Neurospora crassa OR74A: one gene and its partner. The protein of the gene in region 1 purifies or fractionates together with the protein of each later gene. This does not show direct contact. Links are inferred from orthologs where the notes say so. Each region holds a gene or a part of one and is shown on either strand. Other genes may lie near its edges. The genes, in order: NCU01201 and NCU03748.

Region 1 (3,386 bases):
TTCGACATTGAGCAGGGCGACAAGCCCCTCGGCCGCATCGTTATGGGTCTCTATGGCAAGACCGTCCCCAAGACCGCTGAAAACTTCCGCGCTCTTGCCACTGGCGAGAAGGGCTTCGGTTATGAGGGCTCTACCTTCCACCGTGTTATCAAGCAGTTCATGATCCAGGGTGGTGACTTCACCAAGGGCGATGGCACCGGTGGCAAGTCCAGTATGTTGCTTCCAAGTTCCGTTATGCACTTTGGTCCATATCATTGACCGCTTGTGTACAGTCTATGGTGACAAGTTCCCCGATGAGAACTTCAAGCTCAAGCACTCCAAGAAGGGTCTCCTCTCAATGGCCAACGCTGGCAAGGATACCAACGGCTCCCAGTTCTTCATTACCACTGTCATCACCTCGTAAGTCGAATACACTCGAGCCGCATGGTCTAGGAAGTGCCCGGTTGGCTAATACACATTTTGTCGCAGTTGGCTCGATGGCAAGCACGTCGTCTTCGGCGAGGTCCTCGAGGGCTACGATGTCGTCGAGAAGATTGAGAACACCAAGACCGGTCCTCGCGATGCTCCTGCTGAGCCTATCAAGATCGCCAAGAGTGGCGAGCTTGAGGTTCCCCCTGAAGGTATCCATGTGGAGCTTTAAAAAGCGTCTTCTATCCATCCTTGCGAATCCCCATTTCCCCACCGTTAACTGTTCATAAACCTGTGTGGGAAAAGTCATATAAAAGAGGAAAGGATATAGAAGCAAAACTTTTTGGATCCTCATACCTACAATGGTGTCCAATTGTGGATCGTTTTGTTCCTATGACCGTTTACCCGTGTATATGAGTCCATGTGCTGATGAGTCGGTGTTTTTTCTCATCAGGCCTGGAAGGCCAGTCGGAATGGGCATCTCCCGCGTACGCAAACGAAGACGAGAAGCCTGCTGCTCCTGTTCCTGTTACCGATGCCAAGCCTCCTGCGCACGACAGCATCCCCGCCGCCACCGCCGACGACGATGACACTGGTGCTCCCTTGTTCGCCAAGGTCCTCTTCTTTGGTGTATTAGTTCTAGGTCTCGTTTTGTATATTCGCCTTCGTCGCGCCCCTAAGGGTACGTACGGAAAGGGCATGGAGTAGGCAATATCTCGAATATTTGAAATCTGACAAGGCTGCATAACAGGTAGCTATCAGGGTCTGGGCGGGCGTGAGTAGCCCAGACGAGTATTGTTGAAAGGGAGAAGAAAAAAAAGGATCAAATCATGGGCATAAATGAAATCATCGGATAGTTCGCTTTTATTCCCATGTATATCAGTCGCGGTAATGGTTGTGATGGTTGCTTCGGCGATGTAGTGGCGTGTCTGTAAGTCGAAGCATAAAAGTAGCATCACGTGGATCCATTTTTATCCGTTCGAGTCGCTGGGATATCGAACTTTTTTTTTTTTATTACATTTTTGGTAAGACAGTACCGACTCGTAAACCACGACCAGGAAAACCTTGAACATCTTTTCACTATCTTCCCCGAAACTCTAGGTCTCGCTGGCCGAATCCAAAACTAGTTGAGAAACATAATATTCAATCAACCAAAACCCACCAAGATGAAGGTCATGACACTCAACTTTCTGACCTGCGCGGTCAAGAACTGCAAGTCATCCAACGACTCGTTCCCGCTGCACCCCAAGGAGGCCGAGCTGGCCAAAGATGATATCGAGATCAACCCTCAACTTCTGATCAATGTCTTGCCTCGCATCGACTGGGCTGCTCTGCGGACTACTTCTACCGAAGTACGTTGAACTCTTTTTGTATTTTCAAAGCCGACCCACCATTTCGATATGGAGCTACAATATATCTTCATCCCCAATTTTCAGAGAAATACCACACGTCCATCTCACACCTCCCTCACCCTCCCACACTTTCACTTCACCCCAAACAACAACAGCATTTCAACGACGTCCTCAACTAACACACACATCAGCTCGGCTTCCCCACCCTCCCCGAGCAGCCTCCCTCGCCAGAGGATCTTCAGTCCGACGAGGCTCTCCTCAAGGAGCTGCACGAGCTGCTCATGGAGACCCAAATGATGGAGGGCAAGCTCGTGTGCGGCCACTGCGGACACGAGTACGCCGTCAAGAACGGCGTGGCCAACTTCCTCTTGCCTAGCCACTTGGTATGAGTGTGGAGCGCGAGGCAGCAAGGCGAGGCGTTTTCAGGGATGGTCGTGTCAACTGGACTAATTGGACTGGTTGCCAGAGACCTGTTGGAGAATCGGGGAATCTTCATCGGATAGTAAGCACCAAGGAGTGGTAGAGATGGAGAAGTGGTTCCTACCACACGGACTCGGGGAATGCATGCGATGCCAGAAGGCTGGCCACCTGCGGGTAGCAATGAATGGATGGATGGATGGATGGTTTGGGTGACTGCCCAGGGTTGGTTAAGGGCTACCGCAGGAGTCGTCCTGTCCTTGAAGAGACTAGAGTATGGCGAGAATGATTTCTTGAGGGGCGGTTAATTATTTCAGCATTTTACTTGTTCACTTTCAAGGCGTTCTGTAAGGGAAAACATCAATAGAGGATTATCTGGCAAATATCAGCGGCGTAAAAAAAAAAAAAAAAAAAAAAAAAAAAAAAAAAAAAAAAAAAAAAAAAAAAAATCATTTCACCAAGGTGACAGGTTGAAGTTTCCAAAGTTAGTTATTGCCCATGTTTCATGCATATCATTGCTCATGCGTGCATTCTTGTTTTCATTCCCATCTTGCTTTGTTCTAGTGTACGAATGCGCAATGCTTTAATGATACCCAACCAAGAACAAGAACCCTCGAACTCCGGCCTGTCCCCCAAACCCATATACATAGCATGATTCCATAGCAAAACAAAACTTGTGTTCTGCCGCATGCACATCTGTTGTTCGTTGCATCCCAAACCCTACAAAACACGAGGAACAGGGCCTCCAAGCGCTTTACTGCTGCTTCTTCTGTGCAGTCGGTCCCATCTCCTTGTCGAAAGCGCCATATGAGACTTCGAGACTACCGAGAGCCTTCAGTCCGACGCCCAGGATGGAGAGCATGACAATGAGAGCGAGCAGGGCGACGAAAATGCCTGGTTCAGTGTCAGTCTACTGCCTTGAAAAAAGCGCCGACTTGAGATGATGATTACATACCAGGAGTGAAGAACTGATACTTCGCAAACAGCGGGCGGTTATCATAAGTGGTGTTGCCGTTGTCACTGCCCTCCTGAGAGCTAAACTGTCCGCGCTTGAGATCCATATGGACTGGTTCGATAAAGTCAGGCTGGTAAGCCTTGAACTCGTTAGGGTCTGATACCATGACAAGGGTATAGTCGCCCTCAAGGGTATCGAGCACCAGGCCCAACTGATCGTCTATAGTTGCACAGGTTAGTACGGGGCAATTCAAT
Region 2 (4,345 bases), about 930 kb from region 1:
GACTTTCACCAGTCTACCGTCTCTTCACTTCTTGGAAACGCCGCAGCCTACGAGAAGCCCTCCGGCAAGGGTCTGAAGCTCGAGGACGCATGGGAGCCTCCTGCCAGCGACGATGAAGAGGACAATGAAGAGCAGGAAGATGACGAGGAGGAGGAAGAGGAAGACTAAGACTCACGAGATTATGACACTTGCATGATGAAATATTGAGAAGAAGCATTACACCGGCGACGGTTTGGGACACGCATAGCATTTACGGGACGGATTCCTAGAAAGGCATATGGGCTGGAAGCCCTATCGAAGATGCATCGACACATCAGGAATGTGTGGCTAGGCGTTTTGGTTTGCGTTTTTTTTTTTTCCCTGTTTTGTTTAGGAGACAAAGATACCCACCTCTGCAAATAAATACATGTACATATCTGAACAACATGCGATCTCACTGTCCTTGATTCACACCACCATCTCTTATTCCTTGGCCGCCGTGCATGCCTGCAAATGTGATGTCTTGCTGAGTGTTCATAGTGACTCTCATCGTGAGCTTGTTGGGACGTCCCTGAATCAAGCCAAGAGTGATGAATAAGCGGCCAGCCGTCAGGGGAAGTGAATCCGTCAAATACTTGGGGGGTTCTGGGCGCCAAGGCTTTCTTTCCCCCCTACATTCCATGTAGGGGGAGCCGAAAAGTTGGGACGGTATTTTAAAATGGGACATCTGGAATCTTAGCGTTTCCTATACAAAAGTGTTAACGGAGGGACATCGATCATCATTGTACCACGGAACCTTTTTCTAAAATTCCAAGAAAATTTGAGAAGTAAAAGGACACGTCTAGAAAAGCGTACCCAAAATTGCATCAATTTTGGCACAAACATTAGGGAGATAGAAGCGATAGAAGTATCTTTCACTATAGAATCATCACCTTCGTTCGGCGTAGTGCAGCACACTGAAAGCGACAATATATAGTGTATAAAATACATTTGGACCTTACCATCTACTCATCTTTAAGGATGATTTTTTCAAAGCTTCTAAAATGGTTCCTATAAGTAAGAATTCTATACCTGAATTTTTCTAGAATTTTAGAAAAAAGTTTCGTAGTAGAATTGCTGACTGAAGTCGCTTCGCTAACACTTTTGTATAGGAAACGCTAAGATTCCAGATGTCCCATTTTAAAATACCGTCCCAACTTTTCGGCTCCCCCTACATGGAATGTAGGGGGGAAAGAAAGCCTTGGCGCCCAGAACCCCCCAAGTATGTTCCAGTCCCTGTTTGTGGTTCGCCAGAAACATGCACTACCCATCGGTTGACAGCTGCCAAGAGTGACTGGCGACCAGCTAGACTGTACCTCTACTGTAAAGTCCGGCAGGCAAGCTGGTGTTGCTACCCCGCCAGTGAGTGCTTGGCGCCAATTGGAACGACACCAGTGCGCCTTGGGTGCCCCTCGTTTGAGGTCAGGAAAAAAAAAAAAAAAAAAATGGAAGAAAGCGACTGACCAGAAGCCGTTATCGGCCGGAGCTCCACCAATTGCATCTCCAACCGCGAGCGATGAAGTGCGAGTCAAGTCTGGATATCGGTTGTTAGCGGACAAGGACGGCAATAACACCATCGAAGTCACCTATTGCCGGCTTGAGAGCATGCAGTGTGGGGGATCTAATTCTGATTCTTTCTCTCCTCCGGATTTAACCTGACAAACACCAAAACACTGCGTCTGAATCACATCAGCTTGCAGATATCACAAGTCGCAAAGATGGCTTCCCAACAGTAATGCCATCCCCCTTACCCCCCCTACATACATCTCCCCCGCCATCCTGCCCTCACCTCGGGCAACCGCAAGAGCTGGGGATGCTGACCTCAAGTTTCATGTCTTCAGCAAGGTTCTCATGCTTGGCGCTGGCTTCGTCACCCGCCCTACTCTCGATGTCCTCAGCGAAGCTGGCATTCCCGTCACCGTCGGTACGTCAACAGTCAATTATAACAATGCACCTCTTGTTCGACAGTCCGGAACGAAAATACGGGCATTTAGGCTGACATTTGCGCTTGTGCGCGACAGCCTGCCGTACTCTTGCCTCTGCTCAGAAGCTCTCTGAGGGTGTTAAGAACGCCACCCCCATCTCCCTCGATGTCACCAACGATGAGGCTCTCGACGCTGAGGTCGCCAAGCATGACCTTGTCATCAGCTTGATCCCTTATACCTTCCATGCCACCGTCATCAAGTCGGCTATTCGCCAGAAGAAGCACGTCGTTACCACTAGCTACGTCTCTCCCGCTATGATGGAGCTCGATGCCGAGGCCAAGGCCGCCGGCATTACCGTCATGAACGAGATTGGTGTAAGTCCATGACATATTAAATGTTTCGAAGCTTTCAATCATACTAAGTCGCTCGGCAGCTCGATCCCGGTATCGACCACTTGTACGCCATCAAGACCATCGATGAGGTCCACCAGGCCGGCGGCAAGATTCTCTCCTTCCTGTCCTACTGCGGTGGTCTCCCCGCCCCCGAGGACTCCGACAACCCGCTCGGTTACAAGTTCTCCTGGTCCTCTCGCGGTGTCTTGCTCGCTCTCCGCAACGCCGGCAAGTGGTGGCAGGATGGCAAGATCGTCGAGGTTGAGGGCAAGGACCTCATGAAGATGGCCAAGCCCTACTTCATCTACCCCGGCTACGCTTTCGTCGCCTACCCTAACCGCGACTCTACCATTTACAAGGAGCGCTACAACATTCCCGAGGCTCAGACCGTCATCCGTGGCACTCTCCGTTACCAGGGCTTCCCTCAGTTCATCAAGACTCTTGTCGACATCGGTTTCCTTGACGACACTGCGCGCGAGAGCCTGAGCAAGCAGACTCCCTGGAAGGAGGCCACCAAGGAGATCGTCGGTGCTGCTTCTTCCAGCCAGGCCGACCTCGAGGCCGCCATCCTCTCCAAGGCCACCTTCGAGTCCGCCGAGGACCAGAAGCGTATCCTCAGCGGGCTCCGCTGGATCGGTCTCTTCTCTGATGAGACCATCACCCCCCGCGGCAACCCTCTCGACACCCTCTGCGCCACTCTTGAGCAGAAGATGCAGTTCGAGGAGGGCGAGCGCGACTTGGTCATGCTCCAGCACAAGTTCGAGATTGAGCACGCCGATGGCTCCCGCGAGACCCGCACCTCGACCCTCGTCGAGTACGGTGACCCCAAGGGCTACTCTGCCATGGCTAAGACCGTCGGTGTTCCTTGCGCCGTCGCTGTTAAGCAGGTCCTGAGCGGCCAGATCTCTGGCAAGGGCGTTCTGGCTCCTATGAGCACCGACATCACCGAGCCCTTGATGAAGGAGCTCCACGAGAAGTACGGTATTACCATGATCGAGAAGACCATCTCCTAAGCTCAATGCGAAATTCTTGATGGACTGGAAGATGATGAAGAGAAGAAGAGTACTCTTTGACTAGGACGCCGAGTTTTAAATACCATGAGCGAAGCGACTGGACGCAAAGGAGGTGTTTATCCCCGATCGGACATGGAGTAGATCGAAGGCTGTGCAATGGCGGTGCTTCAGCGAAATACGAAGATACCAAATAGATCCAGGGTTGAAAAAAAGGAGAAAAGGGGAGGGAACTCGCCCGGAAAGGTACAGATGACTCATGAAGGTGGCATGTCCAACCCCCCCGGTTCATGGAGAGGCATGCCATGATACCGTAGTGGGCTATGAGGGCATGTAGGCATGGAAATAGGTAGTTGTACGAATTGACACCGCATGTTGAAGCCCTTATGAATTTCCGTCTCGCAACGCGAATTATTTGTTCGAATGACGCTGGAACCGTTCAAATAAGCCTGATCAGGTTGTGATACCCATCATGGTTGTCTCTTGAAGTGATTTGAGAAATATAGCGGTCGTGAGGCCTCGGGCACGCAGAGCTGTAGAGCTCAAAACGTGATCCAAGAAAACGGTGCAATTGAAAAATTGTTTGAGAGGTCCGTGTCCGACACAAAACAAGCATTTTTCCACTACCACCGCGGAAACCAAAACAACCGATCAAGAGATGACAAGGAGACAGAAATGTTCATACAACTGATTCGCACCGGCTTCCTATTTCATTGTGGTGTTTATGGATGAGCTTCATATTTCATGTCATATGAGAAAATTCTACTGCCACGCGATTCCGCCAACTCAAATTTCATCCTGACCGCAAAGCTCAAGACTCAGCGAACCAAACCAAAAACCGGACAGGATCCTGTGATCGAGACAACGCCAAACTGCCATCACAACAACCACTACCGAATTTCAAGGGCGCAAAAGAGGAAATGGTTCAGTATATCTTCACACCCTGGCGCGACCGTCGCGAACTCCTCGCTGTTCGCCGGCAATTTTACCCGCACCAGTA

The links.
Region 2: the proteins of NCU01201 (region 1) and NCU03748 purify together in Saccharomyces cerevisiae (affinity purification with mass spectrometry; 3 studies listed by BioGRID, with this or other methods). This does not show direct contact. The link is inferred for Neurospora crassa OR74A from reciprocal best matches to the Saccharomyces cerevisiae genes TRM112 and LYS9.

The regions. Positions count from the first base shown.
Region 1 is NC_026505.1:3,221,011-3,224,396, forward strand, and holds NCU01201 (trm-112), read left to right. Parts: upstream 1-1,425; 5' UTR 1,426-1,574; coding exon 1,575-1,760; intron 1,761-1,951; coding exon 1,952-2,149; 3' UTR 2,150-2,585; downstream 2,586-3,386. Other genes in the region: NCU01200 (peptidyl-prolyl cis-trans isomerase B), read left to right, coding at 1-211, 273-399, 469-620, 863-1,116; NCU01202 (hypothetical protein), read right to left, coding at 2,932-3,071, 3,133-3,351. UniProt on the Saccharomyces cerevisiae protein: Acts as an activator of both rRNA/tRNA and protein methyltransferases. Together with methyltransferase MTQ2, required for the methylation of eRF1 on 'Gln-182'.
Region 2 is NC_026505.1:2,286,953-2,291,297, forward strand, and holds NCU03748 (saccharopine dehydrogenase), read left to right. Parts: upstream 1-1,452; 5' UTR 1,453-1,736; coding exon 1,737-1,750; intron 1,751-1,859; coding exon 1,860-1,942; intron 1,943-2,039; coding exon 2,040-2,317; intron 2,318-2,376; coding exon 2,377-3,348; 3' UTR 3,349-3,732; downstream 3,733-4,345. Other genes in the region: NCU03747 (hypothetical protein), read left to right, coding at 1-168; NCU11261 (hypothetical protein), read left to right, coding at 4,266-4,345.